Sus scrofa: one gene and its partners. The protein of the gene in region 1 interacts with the protein of each later gene in a biochemical or structural test. Links are inferred from orthologs where the notes say so. Each region holds a gene or a part of one and is shown in the gene's direction. Other genes may lie near its edges. The genes, in order: ESR1, SAFB and SP1.

Region 1 (3,648 bases):
ATACAATTTTAAAGTCTTCCTTTCAGAGCTAGGATCTTGAATCTTACTTAACAGAGAATGATCTCAGACAAGTTCATTAAACTTTCAAAACAGCGGTTTTCCTGTATTTACCTTACAGGATTATTGTGAAAACTAAATTAGTTGTAAAATGGTTACGTGTAAAGTGTATATAAGGTGCTTAAAACACATGGCACATGCTCAGGGCCCGTCAGTGCTAATAATCTTTACAATTATTACTTATCCCAAGAGCTCTGGGAAAGGCTTCGTTTAATACTGAACAAATAGGAATAGGATCTGCGGCTTCATTAAATTTTTAATATCTTCTAACATATCTAATCTAGACCTAAAAGAATAAAAGTTACACATAAAAAATTCACTATTGATGAGAGTTCCTTGTGCGGCAGTGGGTTAAGGCTTCGGCATTGTCACTGCTGTGGCGCCAGCTGAATCTCCAGCCCTGGGATTTCCACATGATATGGGCTCAGCCAAAGGGAAAAAAAAAAAAAATTCACCACAGAACATTTGTTCAAATCCCTTAACAAATTAGAACAAAACAGAACAAAATTCTGACATTAGTTTTTCATTTGTTTCAGAGTGAGAGAACAAGTGATGTTATAAAGAGTGTTTACTTCTATCTTTAATATTAAAAATAATTGTATTAACTTTTTACTAAACTGACTATTTCTTTTATGTATAATCGAAGAACTCTTGCTGTCTGATGTATTTTGGAGAGATTAGAGTTTTTGAAAATATGGAAGCTTGTGTTAATTTTTGCCCTTTAAAATGCATGTTTCGGTTGATAGATTTTAACTTCACAGCCTGGCCTTTTCCAGGTTAAGATGTTGAGCCAAACTTCCAAGAATGTCTGCCAAAGAGATTGGAGCCTCCAGTCCCCCATAATCTAGTTAGTGAGAACCACAGCTGGGTAAATCTTTGGGGGAAAACTATTTTCAACTATTTGAAAACTTTTATATTAGGAAAATGGAAATACATTTGTAAAAACCTTACAACCAAGGAAACAAGTTGAGGGTCTTGGCTCAGTCGCTTAGGTGATGAAGTACCGCTTAGTAGCAATGAAAGCCTGACTGAACGCTGGTGGGGTCCAAAGGCTGTCAGATGTGTTTTGGATAAGTCATTCCCCCTTAGTGTCTTGCCATCAAGAAGTCAACAGGACGATAAGGATGTTTATTAAGTGCTTTTCTCGAATGCCTTTTAAATTTGCTATTAAAAGAATATTCAAGAGTTCCCATTGGGGCTCAGTGGGTTAAGAGTCTGACATAGTGTCTGTGAGGATGCAGGCTGGATCCCTGGCCTTGTTCAGTGGGTTAAGGATCGAGCATTGCTGAAAGCTTCAGCATAGGCTGCAGATGCGGCTCAGATCCAGTGTTGGGGTGGCTGTGGCATAAGACTGCAGCTGCAGCTCCAATTCGCCCCTAAACCAGGAACTTCCATATGCCACAGGTGAGGTCCTTAAAATAATAGTAATAACAATAGTAATAATATTCATAGCAGAAGCAATCTTTTATGCTGTCATATTTCAAGAATGGCTAAATACTGTAATGTTGAACTTTTTAATAACATCTGTCACACACACACCCCAGTGGTTTGTTAGAACCAGCTTTTACTGGCTCACAAAAGCCTACTGTTAAATTTTCAGGAGTTTGTATGCTGCTTGATATCAGACAAGTAGCTTGAAATTTGCCATGGTGGGAGTAGTTACACCATGGAAATTGGCAAATGCTACCAATGGAAGTTTTTTTTCCCCCCTCTTGGACAGCTGGTTGTTAAACACCAGCACAACTATGTCCCCAACTATGTCCTTAAATAAAATAAAGGGCTGTGAGCATCGAAGATAGTTGTAGTATGAAAGTTAATATGAGAAAAAGTATAAACTGGCTTTTTTTTTTTTTTTTTTTTTTTTGGTCTGTATTCTCAGGGATACGGAAAGACCGGAGAGGAGGGAGAATGTTGAAGCACAAGCGCCAGAGAGATGATGGAGAGGGCAGGAATGAAGCGGTGCCCCCTGGAGACATGAGATCTGCCAACCTTTGGCCAAGCCCTCTCTTGATTAAACACACTAAGAAGAACAGCCCGGTCTTGTCCCTGACAGCCGACCAGATGATCAGTGCCTTGTTGGAGGCTGAGCCCCCCATAATCTATTCCGAGTATGATCCTACCAGACCCCTCAGTGAGGCTTCAATGATGGGCTTGCTGACCAACCTCGCAGACAGGGAGCTGGTACACATGATCAACTGGGCAAAGAGGGTGCCAGGTAAGAACATGAAGCTCAACTTTTATTTTTAAGGGCCATTAGCTATTCATGAACTGGTCGTGATAGTGTGGGGACAATGGCTTGTGATCTAATCAGTTTCAAGGTTACATCAGGATTTGTTAATTTTCAGTGTCAGTACACTGTAATTCTCCTGAAAATTAGGGAATAATGTTTTACAATCAAAATCTAGAGTATTAAAGGCTTTAATCTGACATTATTTTTAACTCATCCTATTCACTAAAAAATCTGGGGTGGACACTCCGTTATAAATGCATTTCATATTGTGTGTTCCCAGTGTCAGAAGTTTTTAACACCAAATGATCTATGCCCTATAAAATTTTAATATTGAGGACTTTCATTCAAAACACCTAAATTATTAATAATCAATTTTACCTTAAAATATTTTCTTTTAAGATGTTTATGGACTAACGAGATAATAATAGGGTTTTTTTTTTTTTTAAACCGAATGCCAATTATTCATTCAACCATCTCTTCTCAATATTTTAGGAGAAAGATAATACAACAGAAAATAAATTAGGTTCTCAGCCCTGAGAGGAGCTTTTAGAAAGATAGCAGTGGCTGAAGTGATACTTGGTCCTTCAGTTGATACTCTCAGTACTGATGTTCCTGTAAACCTTGACTGTTGCTCTTGTTGTTCAGGGAGAAGAACTCTAGTTATTATGGAAACAAGACTAGAAAATGACCTCCTCCATGCCCCATCATATCCATTCAGGAGCTAAGGTAGATGAACCAAGGCAAGAGGAAGTTAAATCTTTTTTTTTTTTTTTATGGGCTTATAGATCAAATAAGTAATGAATTTAGACAGCAATTGTCTTGTTTGCTTTCTTTGAATAGATTAATTATTACCTATGAAGCATGGGATGTTCTTTATCAAACTAAATAAATGTAGAGTTTTGTACTTGCATTTTAGAGTTCACCAACTCTATTAATAGCCCAAGCGAACATATATCTGGCCTTATGTACTATTTCATGTATTTGCATATATTAACATATAAACTTGTAGTCCTTTGAATAAGGAACCAGTAACGTGATCCAAACCTGATATAGGGCATTTATTTAGGTGGCAGAGGTTGGGTTACATGGAAACATGGGAATTAATAAGCATACTTAGATTTTCAGGGTCAGTCCAACTGGCAAATAAAAACTCCCAGCCATCTTTGGAATTAAGTTTATTGAGAACTTACCTACCTTAGCATCCTCATGTGGAGCAGATCTATGACAACTAAATATTAGAATTTAATTATAATATGGTCGTAGGTTTTATCTTTAGATTTGTTACTGCCTTTGTTTTTTAAAACAATACTTTGGGAGAAGAGAAAAAAAAAACAGCAAAAAAAATGGTCATATCCCTGAAA
Region 2 (3,747 bases), on another chromosome or scaffold:
AAGCACCCTCCACCCCGAGAAATCTCAAAGGATCTTCAGTCTTGGATCTCCAAGAAAGAAAACCTCTCCAAGACAGAAAACCTCAAAGGATCTTTCTCTCTTGGATCTCCAAGACAAGAAACAAGAGCAAGTAACGGAAAGCACTTGTCCAAGGTCACACAAACAGTCTCCAACCCAAACCCCGGGTGCAGTCTAGAAGCCACCCTGCAGCTATAGTGGGCTTTCAGCGCTCTTGAAACGACTAACTAGAAAAAAAGGAGGAGGTAAGACACAGAGAGAAGCGGTGACGAGCCAAGGTCACACAGCCGGATCCCCGCGGTCCCTGACAGCTCGGGCTGGGTTCGGCCACGAGAAGCGGGCCGGAGGCGCCCCGGGCCCGGGAGTCACGGTGACAGGCCCGCTCGGGGGCGTGCCCCAGCTTCCTGCGCCACCCCAGGGCCCCTGGTTGCCTCACCTTCTTGAGTCGCTCCATCAGGACGCTCTTGTTGCCACCCGTGTCCAGGTTCCGCTTCTTCAGCTCCGCCCGCAGATCGATCACCCGCAGATCGCTGAGCCGCCGCGTCCCGGCTTCTGAAGCGCCCGAGACGACACTGGCCGTGCCAGAACCCGAGTCACCGGACCCTGCCGGAGACTCCGCCATCCCGGGCACCCCGTCTCCGCCACCTACTCCTCACACCGCCGGCGGCAGTAGCGGCTCTGAACACAAAATGGCGCCGCCGGCGAGGAAAACGCACTCGCTTCCTCCCGCCCAGTTTTTCCGGCAGCGCATGCGTGCGGCCCCTACCGGGATTCTTAGCAGCAAGCACGCTAGCGCGTCGACCAAACGCACGTGACCCGGCACAACGCGCAGGCGCCGTAACTGCAGTACGCATGTGTGCCGGCTGATCGCGGCGGGAGGCCAGCAAAACGCAACACGCCTGCGCGCAGTTCCCCAAGTCTCTCACCACGCATGGGCAGACGCGACCGGGAGCGTCGAACCCGCGCCGGGTGCGCCTGCGCAGGAGCGAGGCGCGCCGGGGCGGCTGGAGCGGTTCCCTCGCAGGCGGCGCCATTTTGTGCTAGAAGCCGAGATAAATCCTGCCCGGTTCTGTGTGAAGTGGGCGGCGGAGCCAGGGTCCCTGGAATGGCGGAGGCTCTGTCAGGCCTAGGCGATTCGAGTGCGGCGGGCGCAGCCGCTCTGAGTTCCGCCTCGTCGGAGACCGGGACGCGGCGCCTCAGCGACCTGCGGGTGATTGATCTGCGGGCGGAGCTGAGGAAACGGAATCTGGACTCGAGCGGCAACAAGAGCGTTTTGATGGAGCGGCTCAAAAAGGTGGAGCCGGGGCCTTGGGGGTGGGCAGGAAGTGGGTTGGGGGACCCCGGCAGCCACGACGGTGGCGTCCTGGCCTCGGGGTCCGCCCCCGGCCCTGTCTGCGGCCTGCTTTGGGCCTGGCGCTCAGCGCTTCTCCCGGCTTCTCTCTGGCTCCGGCGGGAGCTCCAGGTTCGAAGTCTAGAGTCGCATCGGGGCGAGACTGGGGAAGCGAACGGGGGAAGTTTGGGGTGACGGGTGACATCGGCTAAGGCCTGTGTTTTCCGCATCATTCACTGTTTTTTAGGGATTTTTTTTTTGGTTGGTTTCATCCCAGTCTGCGAAAGTGGACGCGGAACCTTGAAATCCTCATTTCCTCCGCGGCGTGGGGACTGGGCCAAGGTCATTCGACCCGAGTGGGGAGGTGGGGATTTGAACCCAAGCCGTCTGATTCCCTGAGCCCGTGCGGGCCGCGCGGTTCTCCTTTGGGAAGATAGATGCTCCTTGATCCGTTATGGCCTAGAAGCCTTGAATGAACTGTTAAAGTAATCGTTCCGAAAAAAATCTTCCAAGAGAGAGAAAAAACGGCTTAGGGACCTTCCAGCACGGACTCGGGGACACAGCATGCAAAGGGAAGTGCAGTTAGCAATCGCGAGATAGAACATAGAGGGTTGGGGAGAGATCAGGCCCCTGCCAGGCCCAGGGGCCTGATCTTGGGCATGGAAGACATTTACTACCCCTTCTCGATCCTGTTTCTTTTTGTGTTCGAAGAGGAAAGTAATAGTTCTTCCGTGCTAGGATTAAGTAAGATGGCATGAAACAGGCTTGGCGTGTTGCCTAGCACATGTAAACACTCAGAGGTAGTAGGATCGCTGTTACAAGTCACTTTTCTTTCTGTGCCACCGTTTGATATTGGCAAGCGGCAGAGGGTGGTTCTAACCCCTGTCTTGAGGGGTTCTGAGGGATGCGTGTGAAGAGCAGTGAGTTTAAGTAAATGTTGGCGCCTTTCTGTTTCACCCTATGGTTTGCTTTATTCCTGTGGCTTCTTTCTTTGCCTTTTTGCAACCTAGAGACACTTGTCTTGGGTCTTCCGTGTAATCGCTAAGCCTTGCCACTTAATCCAACACCCCCCACCCCACCCCCAAGCCCTCCAGACGGTGCGGTTTGTGACTCATTCCACCCTCCTGCCTCCCAAACAACTGAGGATTGGGGGGTTATTTATTAATTGCTATTTAGAGGAAATGGGGATTATTTTCTATTATCTGGTTGAGAAGCTCAGGCTTGGGAGTGGTGAATTACTTCCCTTGAGTCAGTTGGGTCTAACTCAGAAAGCCTGTGTTTCTTTCAGTATGGATACTAACTTCCTTTACTCAGACAGGTTAGGCATTTGATTAAGATGTTTACCTGGAAAAGATGCAAGCAGGATGAGGGTTGAAGGCACCGCCCCCTGCCCCCCCATCCATGTCGTTAGTAGCCTCCAGGACCTCTTGTCAACAAAGCCAAACTGGGGGGGGGGGGTATCCTTTTTCCCTTAGTCTACAAGCCTGCAATGCTGATAAGATGGCACTGAACCTTCCTGTCAGGCTGGTGGTTGAGACTGGTGTGTGACTTCAGAAATCTTCTGTCACTAGCATCTCTGAGGGGATAGATCCATCTTTCTTCCTTTTCCGTTTTCTAGGGATGTGCTCAAATTACAAAAATACTATGAGTGTACACACCTATCTGCCACTCTGCCCAAGCAAATCTGGGAGTACTGATGTTTTTCTCTTCTACGTCTATCATCTAGTTTTTCGTTCCTTTGTTTTTTTTTTTGTTTTTTTTTTTTTTTTTTAGGAAGGGCAAAAGAGGGAAAGGTGGGGGAACACACAAACTGTAATTTGCTGAGGCCCAAAAGAATCAGTCATAGCCTATAGTCCCCCCTAGGGATGATGCTATAAACACTACACCCAGAGATACACTGAGGGTCAAACTGGTACATCTGTCTGAGGTAGTTCTTGTACCAGAATCTTGGTGTTCCAGAATCTTCTTTCCCCAGGAAGAGGGTGAGGAACTTTCTGTTTGTGCTTTCCTTGATCCCAGGAGATAACTCAGTCTTCTGGTTCTGGCTTCAGAGAAAAGGGAGAGATTTTCTTTGTTTCTGGTAGAGAGTAGGTATGGAGCCCCCTAGCCCCATTCTAAATTTAGACTGGGAGACTCCCGAGAATCTTTGAAGCTGTTTACAAATAGTCTTTGAAATGGGTTTAAACAGAACTATTGTTCACAGGATAGTCTGGTAGAGAAAGGGTTAACAAAATATAAATGTGAAACTCGGTATCTCAGGATGTCAGCATTGACAAGTTCAGTTTTATTTTTTTTTTCTCCAGAGTGCCTCCTTGGTGCCTGGCACAGTGCTGAGCATGAGTGGGGGCTGTTCAAGTAAACAGTGGGCTTTTGGAGTGGGAGGTGAGACTTGCCTAGAG
Region 3 (3,748 bases), on another chromosome or scaffold:
AGAATGGCTTTATGTTATTGACAGGCCACGCAGGCTGCCTCCACCAAAACTAGGGTAAAGGAGAGGCAGAATGAGTAGCCAGAAATTCAGGTGTTTCGGGAAAAATCACCTCTAACCTTTGCAGTTGCAAAAAGCAGGCACTCTATCTGGCTACTTGCTTTATGTTTAAACGTTATTTACAATTACGGGGTAGAGGCAGGGGCGGGGGTGGGGTAGCAGCTTACAGGACCTCGAACTCCAGGAAGTCCTCCAACACTCTTTAGCCTCAAAAGCAAGCTCTCGAAGAGTTAACCGGCCTTAAGTAGCTATCAACTTTGGGGGAATTTAGTAAAATGGCGTTTGCTGGAGTCTCACAAAGACCTTGCAAATTGGTCAGTGCGTTATTAACCTACTGTATGAGCGCCCTCGCCAGATCTCCTTGCGCCAGCACCCACAGGGGTTACACCATATTCTGAGGCATCCGCCTGCCAGTCCGCCCACCGCGGAGGGGGGAGACCTGAGAGGTACTTTTAAAAGCGGTTAAGTGAAGACTCAAACAAGCCCTGATGTCGAGGAAGAAATGCGACGCGCCGCGGGGCTCGGCCCTGACACTTGTTGAATTGCAGGGCTCTGCTGAAGCCTTGCCACCTAATCACGGTAAAGACGTCCCCAGAGGAGGGCCAAAATGGCGACGGACTCCTCTTGGCACAGCCCTGTTACCTCCCCGACAACTGGCGCCTCTAGTAACGCCCATTGGCCAAGCCGGAGGCGGTGCCTGGCTTCCCTCGCTGCCTCATTGGGCTGAGTGACTGAAGCAGCCGCCAATTCTCCCCTGCCTACTCCAGGTTCCCGCCCTCACAGTTTAAGCAGCATTCAATTGGCTTTTATTCACGTCAATTTGTGTCCTAGCGCGTCTCTTTTCAGTGTTAATCCAATCATAATTTTCCTGGCCGCCCGCCTGATTTCTGATTGGTTTTGATAAGCTTCATCCTATCCCATTCCTGTCTACTTTTTACCACCTCCCACCAGGACTTTGCCCAGGCTTGCCCAGGGTTTTGGTTGGTCGCTGTTCTGTCATTCCAATGAAAACCCTTCCTATCCCTACGTCTCAGCGAGCCCGCCTGGCAGTTGACTGGTTTCTCTCCAAGCCTATCATCTCTAAATCCCGCCTATCTTCACTTCCTGCACCTTTCATTGGCTTTTAAAACTGAGAGGGCGCCCTTTTTGGGCGGACACCACGCACGCAACTTTGTCTTACACGCCTTAGAGAGCAAACGAGTCTCGCCATTGGGTAATTTGCCTGTCTTTCTTTTGCAAGTCCCTCCTTTCACCCTCCCTTATTGGGCGGGGCAGCAGTGGAGGGGCGGGGCCTAGGCCGGGCTTGTGGCGCGCTGCTCCCTCCTCTTTACCCCCCCCTCCCTGTCCGGTCCGGGTTCGCTTGCCTCGTCAGCGTCCGCGTTTTTCCTGGCCCCCCCAACCCCCCCGGACAGGACCCCCTTGAGCTCGTCCCTCAGCTGCCACCATGAGCGGTAAGGATGAGTCCACTCCAAGCTTAGGGGTGGGAGGGGAGTGAGGGGGCGCGCGCGAGGGCCGACCGGGCGGTCCCCGCCGTGAGGGGGGCGGGCGGGAGGCGGCGGCGGCGGCCTTGGTCCCGCCCGGGGCGGAGGGAAGGGAGGGAGAAGGGGCAGTGGCGGGGCCTCGGAGGAGGAGGGGGATGGGCCGCCCGCCCCGGGGGAGGGGGCAGCGTGGCCTCGCCCGCCCCCTGCCCGCCCCAGCCACGGGGGACGGGCCTTACCCCCCACTACTCGGCCGCCCGCCTGAGGCTCCTCCTGCCGGGGGCTGGAGCCGCGGGGGCGGCCCGAGCAGTGCAGGCCCCGCCCGGGCCAACCGCCTCCCTGGTCCGCCCTCTGGTCGCCGCCGGCCCCAAGGCCCTCCTCCCCCCACCCCCCGAAGGTTACCCCTCCCCCCCGTAGATTACCCCTCCCCCTACCGTCCCGCCCTTTCCACGCCCCTCACCCCGAAACCGCCCTTTCCTTCTAGGGCCCGCCCTCTGTCCGCCCCGAAACTCCTGATTTCTAACCCCTGGACCTCTTTAGCCCCTTTCTAGTATTCACAAATGTTCCCCCCTACAAAACTTTTTATCTCATCTTTTCTCCTTCCCCTTCCTTTCCTCTTGTGACTTTCTACACTTGAATTCTTCCCTTTCTCCATCTCCTTTGACCCTAATTTGAGCAAGCTTTCCATCCACCCACATGTTTTATGCCTTATCTATATTTCTCCTTTTTTTCCCCGCAGGATACTTTTAAACTCCTTCAACATGTCCACGGACCCTTACATTGTCTATACCAAAAGCACCTTTTCATTGTTTTCTGAGTTTAATTTTGTACGAGGGAGAACTGCGGCCCAGTTTTGGCACCAAGGGGCCCAGTTCAGGTCTTCCTAGCCCTACAGCTGTCTCTTCTTCCCCAATCCTTTTTTGTTTGTTTGTTTAAATACTGGGACTTTCACCTTCCTGTTAGTCATTTTTGTTTGGTCCTAGTCTTCCTTACCCTTCTTCATTTTATCTTTTTTCTTTCCCCAACTTTAAGTTATCTTTTAATTCTTTTTAGACCAAGATCACTCCATGGATGAAATGACAGCTGTGGTGAAGATTGAAAAAGGAGTTGGTGGCAATAATGGGGGCAGTGGTAATGGTGGTGCCTTTTCTCAGGCTCGAAGCAGCAGCACAGGCAGTAGCAGCAGCGGTGGAGGAGGAGGAGGGCAGGTAGGTGATCATCTGGACAGAGTGGGCATCGTGTTGAGAGGATGTAGATATTCTTAGATGATTGTCTTTTCACAAAAAAATTTTTAGGAAAGGGCTAATTTACAGATAGGGAAGTAAGTACAGAGACAAGTGACTTGGAGATCCCCAAAGATGAGAATTTCAAATTTCAGCAGTGTAGATAGGTTGGCTTTTTGTTTGCTTGGGGGGGGCACTGTTTTGCTGTTTATTTATTTATTTTGGGTTTTTTTTACTGTTTATTTTTTTCTACTGCCCCCAGGGCTGGCAGCTGGTGTCACTAAACTAATCTCTTTCCTCTCCCTTATTTTTGGCCAGGAGTCCCAGCCATCCCCTTTGGCTCTGCTGGCAGCAACCTGCAGCAGAATTGAGTCACCCAATGAAAACAGTAACAACTCCCAGGGCCCAGGCCAGTCCGGGAGCACAGGTGAGCTTGACCTCACAGCCACACAGCTCTCCCAGAGTGCCAATGGCTGGCAGATCATCTCTTCCTCCTCTGGGGCTACCCCTACCTCGAAGGAACAAAGTGGCAGCAGTACCAATGGCAACAATGGTGGTGAGTCTTCCAAGAATCGCACTGTCTCTGGTGGGCAGTATGTCGTGGCTGCCACATCCAACCTGCAGAACCAGCAAGTCCTAACAGGACTGCCTGGAGTGATGCCTAATATTCAGTATCAAGTAATCCCACAGTTCCAGACGGTTGATGGGCAACAGCTGCAGTTTGCTGCCACTGGGGCCCAAGTACAGCAGGATGGTTCAGGTCAGATACAGATCATACCAGGTGCAAACCAACAGATCATCACAAATCGAGGAAGTGGAGGCAACATCATTGCTGCTATGCCAAACCTACTCCAGCAGGCTGTCCCCCTCCAAGGCCTAGCTAATAATGTACTCTCAGGACAGACTCAGTATGTGACCAATGTACCAGTGGCCCTGAATGGTAATATTACCTTGCTACCTGTCAACAGCGTTTCTGCAGCTACCTTGACT

Evidence for each region.
Region 2: the proteins of ESR1 (region 1) and SAFB form a complex in vitro, tested with the Homo sapiens proteins (2 studies listed by BioGRID). The link is inferred for Sus scrofa from reciprocal best matches to the Homo sapiens genes ESR1 and SAFB.
Region 3: the proteins of ESR1 (region 1) and SP1 form a complex in vitro, tested with the Homo sapiens proteins (6 studies listed by BioGRID and IntAct). The link is inferred for Sus scrofa from reciprocal best matches to the Homo sapiens genes ESR1 and SP1.

The regions. Positions count from the first base shown.
Region 1 is NC_010443.5:14,372,597-14,376,244, reverse strand, and holds part of ESR1 (estrogen receptor), read left to right. Parts: intron 1-1,936; coding exon 1,937-2,272; intron 2,273-3,648.
Region 2 is NC_010444.4:73,331,587-73,335,333, reverse strand, and holds the start of SAFB (scaffold attachment factor B1), read left to right. Parts: upstream 1-947; 5' UTR 948-949; coding exon 950-1,312; intron 1,313-3,747. Other genes in the region: SAFB2 (scaffold attachment factor B2), read right to left, coding at 455-640. UniProt on the Homo sapiens protein: Binds to scaffold/matrix attachment region (S/MAR) DNA and forms a molecular assembly point to allow the formation of a 'transcriptosomal' complex (consisting of SR proteins and RNA polymerase II) coupling transcription and RNA processing.
Region 3 is NC_010447.5:18,587,440-18,591,187, forward strand, and holds the start of SP1 (transcription factor Sp1), read left to right. Parts: upstream 1-1,323; 5' UTR 1,324-1,501; coding exon 1,502-1,508; intron 1,509-2,010; exon of another isoform or gene 2,011-2,412; intron 2,413-2,588; coding exon 2,589-2,743; intron 2,744-3,076; coding exon 3,077-3,748. UniProt on the Homo sapiens protein: Transcription factor that can activate or repress transcription in response to physiological and pathological stimuli.